3 linked regions of the Ovis aries genome follow. The protein of the gene in region 2 purifies or fractionates together with the protein of the main gene of each other region. This does not show direct contact. Links are inferred from orthologs where the notes say so. Each region holds a gene or a part of one and is shown on either strand. Other genes may lie near its edges.

Region 1 (3,652 bases), on a different chromosome or scaffold from region 2:
TTGTAACTGTCCTGGGAAAGAAGCGTTCATAGTGCACAGAAAGGACCCCACATGGCAGTTTCCTGGGTCTGAAGAAATCCTGGGATGTTTTAGTTCACCTTGTTACATCGTCATAAAAGGAAGCAATATCCTTCTGTTCCCTCTCAGTGAGGTAGAACAACTGACCTCCCAAATTAAAACCCAGGAGCAGATCTGAAGAAGAAGTAGAGTTCAGGCAAAGCCACAGAATTTACATTTTGATGCCTTCTTGCTGACTGAGTTGTGACAATGTTTTCTTAATCCGCAAAGCTGTAAGCCTAGCTGCTCCATTGGCATACCAACATTCTCTCATAATTTTAGCCATTACTCTCAAGGCCTACAAGAAAAGAAAAGAAAGATCATTAATGCATGCACCATGTTTCAACGACCTGGATAATAATCTTTCAGTTCAGTTCAGTTGCTCAGTCGTGTCCGACTCTTTGCAACCCCATGAATCGCAGCACGCCAGGCCTCCCTGTCCATCACCATCTCCCGGAGTTCACTCAAACTCACATCCATCGAGTCGGTGATGCCATCCAGCCATCTCATCTACCTGTAAATTTTCTTTTTAAACGACATACAAGTATTTCTGTTTCAGCATTATTTGTAATAGCAAATGAGTAAAGATGACCTAAATTCCCATCAGCAGGATACTGGTGCCAGCAGCTGGAAAGCAGATGGACAAAGGAGGATTTACTTGGCAGCCTGAGAAACCTGAATCCTCAAAAGAGCTGTGCAAAGCAAAGAGAACCTGACTCACATGAAATGGCCCCCAAAACTGAGGAATTAACTTATATCCTGTATCCCTGGGGTGAAGTTCAGGGTAAAAATAGAATCAGCCAAAGAAGCTGGAAACCCAGATACCTGCCCTGCCCCAACTTCACACAGCTGGGTGACCATCCCACCCCATCCGAACAGAAGACAAGAGGTTTCAATCTGAGAGAGCAGAACAGATTCCCGTCTTGGGGAAATAAGGGCAAAATTCCACACTGACAACACACTAAATGCTAAGACAGTAAACTTTCTCCCCAGAACACGGCCAGTGACTTTACATGGTCCTCCAGGTAAGAGACCAGAAGAGTCTTCAGCCCAAGAAGAAAAGCCTAAAGAGAGACATCAGTGGTTCCCCAAGGAAGCAATCCAGTTACTTCACCCTTAGACTGCAGTGGAAGATAAGCTCCATTCACGTGCACAAAGCTTCCTATCAGCTTTCAGTGCTGCTTTTATACAGAGCATGAGCTTGATCAAACATTTCAGGAAAGTAATATGAAATGCAGAAACTGACACAGAAAACAACACCTTGGAAAAACCAAAAGGTGTATAGAAGACAATATCAACAATCCATCATTAATATCTTCAGAGATTACTGATACTGGACTTATCAATACTTTTTTGGGGTTTTGTTTGGTTTGGGGAAAGTTTTATGAAACCACAAGATAAACCTGAGTGATAATAATAAGACCAAAAGATATAGGCGGATTCCTTTCCCAGAAAGTAGAGAAAAGAAAACAAAGAGATGGGTAATAGGAAGAAAAACACAAGAAAATCAGAATGCCTGTTCAGGATGTCTACATTCATAACCAGAGTTGAAGAAAAAGAACGGAAAATGGAAGGGAATACTTGAGGAAAATTTCCTAGAAATGAACATTTGTTTTCAGGTAAAAATGACCAAGGGTTCAGGACATGCATAAAATCATCCAGCAAACTGAGTGCCATAATCCAGATGCCATCCTACATGCATCTGGTAGGATACACTAACAGACACAGCAGTGAACTAACAGACGACATTTCTGCTCTCATAAAGCTTACGTTATAGAGGGCTAGAGCATATAATAAATAAGCAGAATGCATGGACTGTCCGTGCTAAGTGCTGAGGAGAAACATCATTTAGGGAAGGAGATAAAATATGCCAGGGGGGGGGGAAAGTGCTATTTTAAATAGATTGACAGGTAACGTCTCACTGACAAGGTAACATCTGAGCAAAGAGCTGGAAGAGGGGGATAAATGAGCAAACCAAGAAATGTGAAGACATGGGATTCAGAAAGGCAGTCACCACAGAAGAGGCAAGAGAGATCACAGGTGAAAGGTGAGGGATATCCCAAGATGAAAGCTGGCCTAGAGCCAGACTGGCTTTTCAGACTGGAAAAGGTCAGAGGGCTCTGAAAAACACTTCCGTAGGCATCCTATCAGTTTCAAATTCTCAATGTGTTTCAGCTACTGAGGGGAGATTTGTAAAACCCAAGAAAAGTGAAAGATTAAGTTAGTGATACAAAACTAGCTAAATCGAGAGAAAATCTAAAATGACAGTGATGGCATTAATTCAACATGCTGCGACAGTAATTGCAACTTGCATGTATGTTTTTAATGTTAACTACTAACTTCATGCTTAATTAGCCATCTGTTTAATATTAATTTGCTCTAATTTGCTTATTGAATGAGTGCATGAATAATTCCAGTTTGTAGTGTCAAGATGAAATTTTTCAAAGACAAAATCTAGGCCAATTTCATTTGTTAAACATGCAGGTTCTGTGAGCACACAATATATTTTGTCTGGGCCTGCATACTGGATTTCATTGGAGGCAGCCAAGGAACTCTCTTGATCTCACAAGTATCTAATGAAGTCTGCTGCTGCTAAGTCGCTTCAGTTGTGTCCTACTTTTAAGATGTAAAATAAACTACTTAAGTGAACAGCTTTTTATTCTTCCTATACTACAAAACATCAACTCCAAAGGGAAATGCTTTGTTTTACCAATATTATAATAGTATCATAATAATGGTTGTTAACTCAGTTGTGTCTGACTCTTTCTGACTCCATGGAATGCAGCACGCCAAGCTTCCCTGTCCTTCACTATCTCCCAGAGTTTGCTCAAATTCATGTCCATTGAGTCAATGATGCCATCCAACCATCGCATCCTCTGTCACCTGCTTCTCCTGCCCTCAATCTTTCCCAGCATCAGGGTCTTTTCCAATGAGTCAGCTCTTCACATCAGGTGGCCAAAGTATTGGAGCTTCAGCACCAGCCCTTCCAATGAAAATTCAGGGTTGATTTCCTTTAGGGTTGACTTGGTTTGATCTCCTTGTTGTCCAAGGGACTCTTCAGCACCACAGTTCGGAACCATAAATTCTTAGGCACTCAGGCTTCTATGGTCCAACTCTCACATCCATACATGACTACTGGAAAAACCATAGTTTTGACTATACAGACCTGTGTTGGCAAAGTGATACCTCTGTTTTAAATATGTTGTCTAGGTTTGTTATAGCTTTTCTTCCAAAGAGCAAGCATCTTTATTAATTTCATGACTGCAGTCACCATTCAGTGATTTTTGAGCCCAAGAAAATAGTCTTTCACTGTTCCATTTTTTCCCCACCTATTTGCCATGAAGTGATGATCCTGGATGCATGATCTTAGTTTTCTGTATGTTGAGTTTTAAGCCAGCCTCTTCACTCTCCTCTTTCACCTTCAACAAGAGGCTCTTTAGTTCCTCTTCACTTTCTGTCATTAGGGTGGTATCATCTGCCTATCTGAGGTTATTGGTATTTCTCCCAGCAGTCTTGATTCCAGCTTGAGGTTCATCCAGCCCAGCGTTTCACATGATGTGCTCTACACATAAGCTAAATAAGCAGGATGACAGTA
Region 2 (3,752 bases):
CCTTCCTGGCAAAACAGAAGGGACTTCTACCATTCGTAACCAAAAGGAAGAAGGCGAAGTTTTTAATAGTTAAATAGTTTTCTCTTAAAATATGACAGAGACAAATTCCCAATGGTTTTAAGAAACTGAGAGTATCTAAAACTGTTTTTACAATTAAGGGGACAAAGTGTATTTAAAATTCCTCAGAAAAATCTAAAAATACAAAATTACTCTATAGATTTAGCCCAGTATTCCCTATCCCTTCAAAAATAAGTGTAATCTTTTCTCCTAACTTTACTCATGAATTTTTATAATGTATCATATGTAGGAAGAAAACCACAGATAAACACTTCAAGATCTTCTGAATCACATTAAAAACCTCAAACTCATTTTATCTGCAAAAAGTCAAGAGCCCTGTTTTCTCCCTCATGCTCTCATCGTGTATATAACCTAGAAGGAATTAAGTGGCCACCAGGCTATTTCTGATGCCTTTTGCACACCTGGAATCACAGGTTCTTTCCATGATCACTGACACAAGACTGACTCCACAGAGGAACAGCAGTAGATAAACTCTACGACAAAGGTCCCTTACAAAGGTTTCCATTGATTAAGAAAATAAGGAAACTGAATGGGGGGAAGTAGGGGAGACAGGCATCCCCCAATCCAGGTTTTCCATTAAGAACCACTCAGTTAATGATTCTTTGCAATATTCTCTAGAGAAAGTAAAACTGTCATGAAAGTAATATATTTTAAAAATTGCTGCCAACATACAGTCAGGCTAAATTCTCGAATACCTAATTCACTGCAAGTTTTTATCTCGAAAGTTCAGCCAGTGGACTGGGATGTAACAGACAAGCATTCAATTACAAAATTAGTCCATATAAATCTCAAAGTCTAGTGGAGACAAACATAATTACAGTTTATTCTTACACACGCACCCACACACACACACACATTCTCTAAGGAAAGTCATCTTTCTCGCCACATATCCGAATATCAACCTGCATAATTTATTAATAGCGAATAATGAAGCCAGAATTACAATGGTTTCATTTACACGTTTCAAACTCCAAATAATTTTTCCCTAAAATGGGGTAAAACGACCATGTAAGATCAAAAATGTACTTGTAACACTAAAGATCTAACACACCTGGGATCATAAACACTTCGTAAGAAAAGCCTGCTATCCAGCAACCCCTCCAGACATTCTTTTCCATTTAGAAAAAGGAAGGGGAGGAGAGTGGGGAGAGAGAGAAAAACTCTGCTTCAAAGTCCGTTTGAGCACAAACTTAGAAAGGGACTCAAAAAAAGTGTGTTTTTAAAGCAGGTCTAGAGTTAGAAGCGAGACACAAGTTCTGCGGCCTACAAGGAACAACCCCAAACATACTACCCTACAATCAAACACTTCCAAAACACAGAGGGTACAATGAGCGCGAGTCGTCGGATCAGGCAGACACACCGGAAAAGTCAACCTCGGTCTCCTTCCCTATAAAGTCGTGCGTTTCAGGTGTGTGGAACCGACGGCTGCGCCTGGCAGCCGAGAGGGAAGGTTTTGCACGCGGGCATAAGTGGGCGAACAAGTTAACAACCGGGGAACACACACACACACCCTCCCGTTAAGCGCTCCATCTTTAAGGAGTGTTTACTGCGCGCAGTCAGCAGCCGGATTCAATAATCCCCGCCACAGGAGCTCCTCATCCCCTCCACGACCCCACCTGGGCAGCAGCCCAAGGGCTGCTCCCCGACGCCCCGGGAGAGAGTCGTGCTTCTCGGCCAAGGCTTTTCGACCTCAAATCCGCCTGGAATTCCAACGGGGGGACCCCCCCCCCAACAACAACAACAAAAGACCCCCGAGTCACCCTTGGCTTTTCTAAGAATCTCCCAACGAGGGAGACTGGTTTTGCAGTTACTCTCCCTGAACTAGGCCTTCCCACGTCCCCGACCTCCCACTCACCATTGATCGCGACCCTGGCCCTTCTCAAGGCCACAGGCACCCCCCGCCGGCTCGCCCACCCCGCCGCCGCCCCGGCCTGGCTCCCGCCGCCCGCCCAACCCCCTCACCTGTCAGGCGCAGCTTGACGGGCCCGTTCCTCCGGCCCCCGGGGTTAGACATGTCCCCGGCGGCGGGGGCGGCGGCGGGGCTGCGGCCGCGGCGCGGGGCCCGGGGCCCGGGGCCGGCGGGCGGCGGGCGGGGCGGGGGCGACGGTGAGGCGCGGCGCAGTCACCACAGCGGCCGGGGCTGGGGCCCGAGCAGCCGGCGCCGCGGCCGCCACGGCCGGAGGGTCCCGGATGTGCCGAGCGTCGTCGCCATGAGCCGCGGAGGGAGCGGGACGCCGAGCTCCCCCCTCCTCCCACTTCTCTTTCCTTGGCCCGGGCCGCACAACAAAGCGGCAGCCGCGGCCGGCCGCGCCGCCTCCGCCCGCGCCCCCGCCGCCTCCACGCAGCCTCCTCTGCCGTTCCCTCTTCTCGGCTCGGTGAGGCCCAGGAGCCGACGGGGCCGGGCGGTTGTGGCGGGCGGTGCTCGGCGGCGCCGGAGCAGGATTCTGGGCTCGGCCGCTTCCTCCTCCACCCGCCCTCTTGTCTGAGGAAACCCGGTCCTGGGGCCGCCGCCGCCACTCAGCGGCTCCGGGGGGCGGGGTGGAGACGGGGGCGGGGCCGACGAGGCGGGGAGGGGCCGGGGGCGGGGCCTGGGCGGCAGCGCGCGGAGCACCGAGGGGGGGCGGAGGCGTCAGGCCTGGCTTCGGCCTGGGCGCGGCGGTCCGGGCTGGTGAGCCCTGCTGTCCCACGCAGAACTTGAGGAAGGAGCGGGCAAAGGATCTGGGTGGCGGCGCCGACCTCTGTGGTGCCAGGAGGGCCTGGAGTTCAACCCGCTTAAGGGAGAGCTTTTGTCCGCGAAATACAGGCTGCCTTTATTAGACGCCCACCGCGTGCAGGGCGCTTCTCTGAGAGGCAGGGGCCAGCGGTTAGAACCGAACCTGCTGCGGTCCGGATTGAGCCTCGGCTGGAGTGAGGCAGGAGAGGCTCTTCCCACACCGAGGGTTCCGGCAAATCCCTAAGGGTATTTTGCTCCTGGTAGCGTAGTTTCCACCTCCATCCAGGACTCACCTGGTGAACGAGATCAGGTTACCAGCCTGCTTGGGCTCTTTTTTTCAACTGTAGCGCAGGGATAGGCGGATGATAATGCCTTAAAGGATAATTAACAAGATAAGCCTTTGAGAGCAATGTATGAAAGCTCTTCGTACAGGGCTGTATTTTGTTATCTCAGGAGGAAAAAAATAGAAAATGAAATAAAAATAAATGTACCTTACCCTTTGACCCTGTAATTGCACTCAGGAATTTATTCTTGATATAATAGTACAAAAGATGTTCTTGCAAAATTCGGTTAATAACAAAAGGGAGACGAGCTGACAGTCTAATGGCGAATTTCATTACATCAACCGCATAGGTTTTAATGCCCCCATTTAAGTGGCAATTACGAAGATCGTATAATATGGAAGAGTTTATAAATAATCAAAGTTTAAAAGCAGAATAAAAAGTGGTATCTATGCATGCAAAAGTGTACATGGAGGATTTTTTGTGTGTGCTGTTTTGCTTAAGGCTACTACTATTGCAATTTTAAATGTTTAATAAAATCTGATATATTTTAATCCTGTGTCATTTGTCTCTTTTAATTCATCAATAATGTCATTTAATTCTCCAGATCAAGTTACCTCCAAGAACTTCTCATCAATCTGGGTGAAGTGAAGTGAAGTGAAAGTCTCTCAGTCCTGTCC
Region 3 (3,652 bases), on a different chromosome or scaffold from region 2:
TCAGATTTCAAGGAGTTAATCAGATTGATCTGATGCCACTATCTTTAAATAAATAGCTTTTGCTGATAAAGTAGAATGCTTTTAAAGTAGTATGAGAAAATTCTGAGTTACACTCTAGTTGACTTTAGGTGTTCTTATGTTACTTACAAGATTTTTTTTCCTGGGAATAAAAGCTTACAAGATTTTAAAATATGTTTGTTTTTCTGTGTAGCTCCACCAAGTATGTTGGTGAAGGATGAATATGTTCATGACTTTGAGGGACAGCCATCATTATCCACTGAAGGGCATTCAATTCAAACCATCCAGCATCCACCAAGTAATCGTGCATCGACGGAGACATACAGCACCCCAGCTCTCTTAGCTCCATCTGAGTCTAATGCTACCAGCACCACCAATTTTCCCAACATTCCTGTGGCTTCCACAAGTGAGTTGTAGAGTCAGATATAGTCAGCAAGATGAATTTTCCTAACAATTGAATATTTATAGGTAGTCACTTGGAGGGGACGTCCGAGTAAGTGAATATTAAAAGTACTGTGGTTATCTTTCATGGGTTAACAAGCATCAGATAGGTTTTTGAGTTGTCCTGGAAAAAAAAAATATTTGTAATTTTAAAAAGTTTAAATGTATCTTAATGTAACAGAACATAAACCGTCTTATGTTGATGTATAGTCCCTTGGAATTTAAATAATGCTTTAAATTAGTGGTCTAATTTGTACTTTATTACATGCAGAAGAAGTCTATTGAGCTTTCACATAAATTTTAGAGAAATGTTTAAGTAGAGAACAAATAGTTTTGAACCAAGATATTTATAGAAATCTGTATTAATGGAATTGCAAACTTTCCTCTAATCAGTGTTTTTATTTTGCTTTATCTGGCAGATTACTTTATAATCGTCATCTCAGTCTCCAGTTGTACAAGCTTATTAGAAAAAAGGACCTTGACAAATTTATTTGTAACATATGACCCTCAGGATAGATGTTAAGTGTTCTAGTCAGTTTTGAAATAAAGCTAAATTATATGTATCTTTTTTTTTTCCTAACAAGAAGTGTATTTTAAAAAGATTCTTGGGATCGTATGTACACCCGTGGTGGATTCATGTCAATGTATGGCAAAACCAATACAGTATTGTAAAGTAAAATAAAGTAAAAATAAAAATTAAAAAAAAAAAAAAGAAAAGATTCTTTCCAGTTTAGAGGTACTGCCTTCTCTGCTGTGTCATGGAAGCAGAGGGCTATTAGGTTCAGCTTTTCTTGGGGCCTGGTCAAGGCAATAATGACCTTATGTTGGACAGTGGAGTGGCCTTTTTTTTTTTTTTAAAAAAAAGAGTACAGTTGCTTTACGGTGCTGTGTCAGTTCCTGCTGTATAGCAGAGTGAGTCAGCCACATGTATGTCTGTCTTTTTTCTTGGATTTGCTTCCCACTGAAGTCACCATAGAGCACCGAGTAGAGGCCCCTGTGCTGCGCAGTAGGTTCTCACTAGTTAGCAGCTTCATGCATCGCAGTGCATGTGTGTCAGTCCCGGTCTCCCAGTGCGTCCCCACCCTGCATCGCTCCTGTTTTATTTTTAATTACTCACAGAACAGGGTCTTGGCATTTGTATTACTGTGTTATTTGTACATCAGTGCTAAGGAGATTGTATCTCAGCCCACAACAGCAGTAAATTATTGATGCATCTGGACTGATACTTTGTATATTGATATCAAAGGAAGCATATTCTATTTATTTTAATATCAGATCAAGTTCAACATAGAAATTTGATCTTTGGAACAAATGAAGGATTTATTTCTACAGTTGAATTTCAGATAAAGTACACCAAATTTCCCCCGCTTTATTTTACCTTTTCAAATAATATCCTTTGTATTTCCTACACAAGATGACAGTCTTCATACAGACAGCATATTCCAAATAGGTTGGACCATATAGGTTAAACACATACTTTAGAGCCTGAACCTTTAATCACTTGGTGCTTCTGTTATCTCTGTATTAACCAGTTTGGGAATATAGTTGATAAACGAGTGGGTGGGGAAGGAAAATAAAAGAAGGTGCATTATAGCCACTTGAGCATAGATTAATGCCACTTACCTCTATTGATACTATCTGAGGATTGAATTGGCATGCCTTTGTTGATGATTGCTCATGCAACTTCATTTTAACCATTAATGTTACTGGGACCAAGTCCTAGTCAAGATCAGAAAAAGTGGTATAAATGAAATATGGGTAATTTTGTCTTGGTGTTTTTTGGATGTATTTTCACAATGAGTAGTAATTAACTGTAAGTTTTAGAATTTGTTGCAGAATGTTCCCTTAGATCTTAAAAGATATATTGATAAAATTAGAAAAAGGAAATGACTAAAATAGAGGAATTAAAAGACTTCATGAGTTGTTTTAATTTCATTTTATGTTCTTGGAATTGTGTAATGAAAGTATTCAGTATAGATAACTGTAGTGGGCGTTATGTTCAATTGGAACCTGAATATCTACAGGGATTCTTTCTAAATTAAGATAGTTCAAATTCTCCTGCATAGTGACAATTTTTGTAAGATAGCTAAGAGTATATAACATGTACAGTTGTTAAAAACAAGAGGAAATATGCAATTAACCTTCAAAGATTACCTGTAAAAATTTGAGGGGGATGAGTAAGAAGGGAGGTTGCTGAAAATATCATCTTTAAAAATAAATACTTTAGGGAGTATTGAAATAGTCTTTTTAGCTTTTAATTATATAATCTTAGCCTTACAGAAATCTGATTTGTAGCAGGAAGAAAAGTTTTCTTTTTTCTTGATACTTTGAGCTGTTCGTTGCATATTTGGGCAATGGTGTCATTTACTCCCTTCTATCTGATTATACTCCTATATGGTTGAGAAAAGATTAAGGTAATGCCAGTAACAATAATTATGGAATTTTAGTGCTTTCCAAGTGAGATGCACAGTTGACTTAATACTTGCTTGAAAAAATTTAGCCTTTTTCACACAAAAGATACAGCCTTAAAAATGTAAGCAATTTCATAGAATGGTTTTAAATAGAATAGTTCTCCTGTTTTATTACATACAGAGAGGGCAACTAATTTCTTGTAAATCCAGGAATATGATAGTGTTCTTAGAGGCAATTCTTGATATTTAAAAGTACATGAGAAAATATCACAATAGACTGATTTTTTTTTTTTTTTGGTTTATTTATTAAAACTCGCAGATGCTGCGTTAACCGGACAGTGGAGCTTACCTTTTTTCCTCTTAACTTTCTCACCTTACCATTACATTCCATTTAAAATACTTGTCTGCTCTGCTTTTTTATTGAACTTTAGCATTCTGCTATTGCTACCATTGCTGATAATAATGAGCTTTCCAATTTTCAACATTTCCTTGAGCCTGGACATTTGGAATCCTAACAGAAAGATGCAAAAGCTAGATGGAGTGGCTGTGGGTGAGCTAATGTACTTCTGAAGAAGTTATTAAAATAGGCTAGACCTGTACTGGGGTTTTGCTGGCATTTGGAGAATATTTATGAAGAATGGGCCACTAAAATTAGCTAGATATTAGAATAATTTTGAACTTCTTCAGGTTAAGGTTTGCCTTTATAGATGACTGCAGGGTTTTTTATTTGGTAGGCCATGGGTGACTTCACTCTTTGCTCATCTTTATAGTTGTGACTTTCA

The links.
Region 1: the proteins of SMURF2 (region 2) and TGFBR1 purify together in Homo sapiens (affinity purification with western blotting; 8 studies listed by BioGRID). This does not show direct contact. The link is inferred for Ovis aries from reciprocal best matches to the Homo sapiens genes SMURF2 and TGFBR1.
Region 3: the proteins of SMURF2 (region 2) and SMAD4 purify together in Homo sapiens (affinity purification with western blotting; 3 studies listed by BioGRID). This does not show direct contact. The link is inferred for Ovis aries from reciprocal best matches to the Homo sapiens genes SMURF2 and SMAD4.

Annotation. Positions count from the first base shown.
Region 1 is NC_056055.1:48,711,243-48,714,894, forward strand, and holds part of TGFBR1 (TGF-beta receptor type-1), read right to left. Parts: intron 356-3,652; coding exon 230-355; 3' UTR 1-229. UniProt on the Homo sapiens protein: Transmembrane serine/threonine kinase forming with the TGF-beta type II serine/threonine kinase receptor, TGFBR2, the non-promiscuous receptor for the TGF-beta cytokines TGFB1, TGFB2 and TGFB3.
Region 2 is NC_056064.1:48,570,326-48,574,077, forward strand, and holds the start of SMURF2 (E3 ubiquitin-protein ligase SMURF2), read right to left. Parts: upstream 2,563-3,752; 5' UTR 2,093-2,562; coding exon 2,041-2,092; intron 1-2,040. UniProt on the Homo sapiens protein: E3 ubiquitin-protein ligase which accepts ubiquitin from an E2 ubiquitin-conjugating enzyme in the form of a thioester and then directly transfers the ubiquitin to targeted substrates.
Region 3 is NC_056076.1:50,874,290-50,877,941, forward strand, and holds part of SMAD4 (mothers against decapentaplegic homolog 4), read left to right. Parts: intron 1-211; coding exon 212-424; intron 425-3,652. UniProt on the Homo sapiens protein: In muscle physiology, plays a central role in the balance between atrophy and hypertrophy. When recruited by MSTN, promotes atrophy response via phosphorylated SMAD2/4.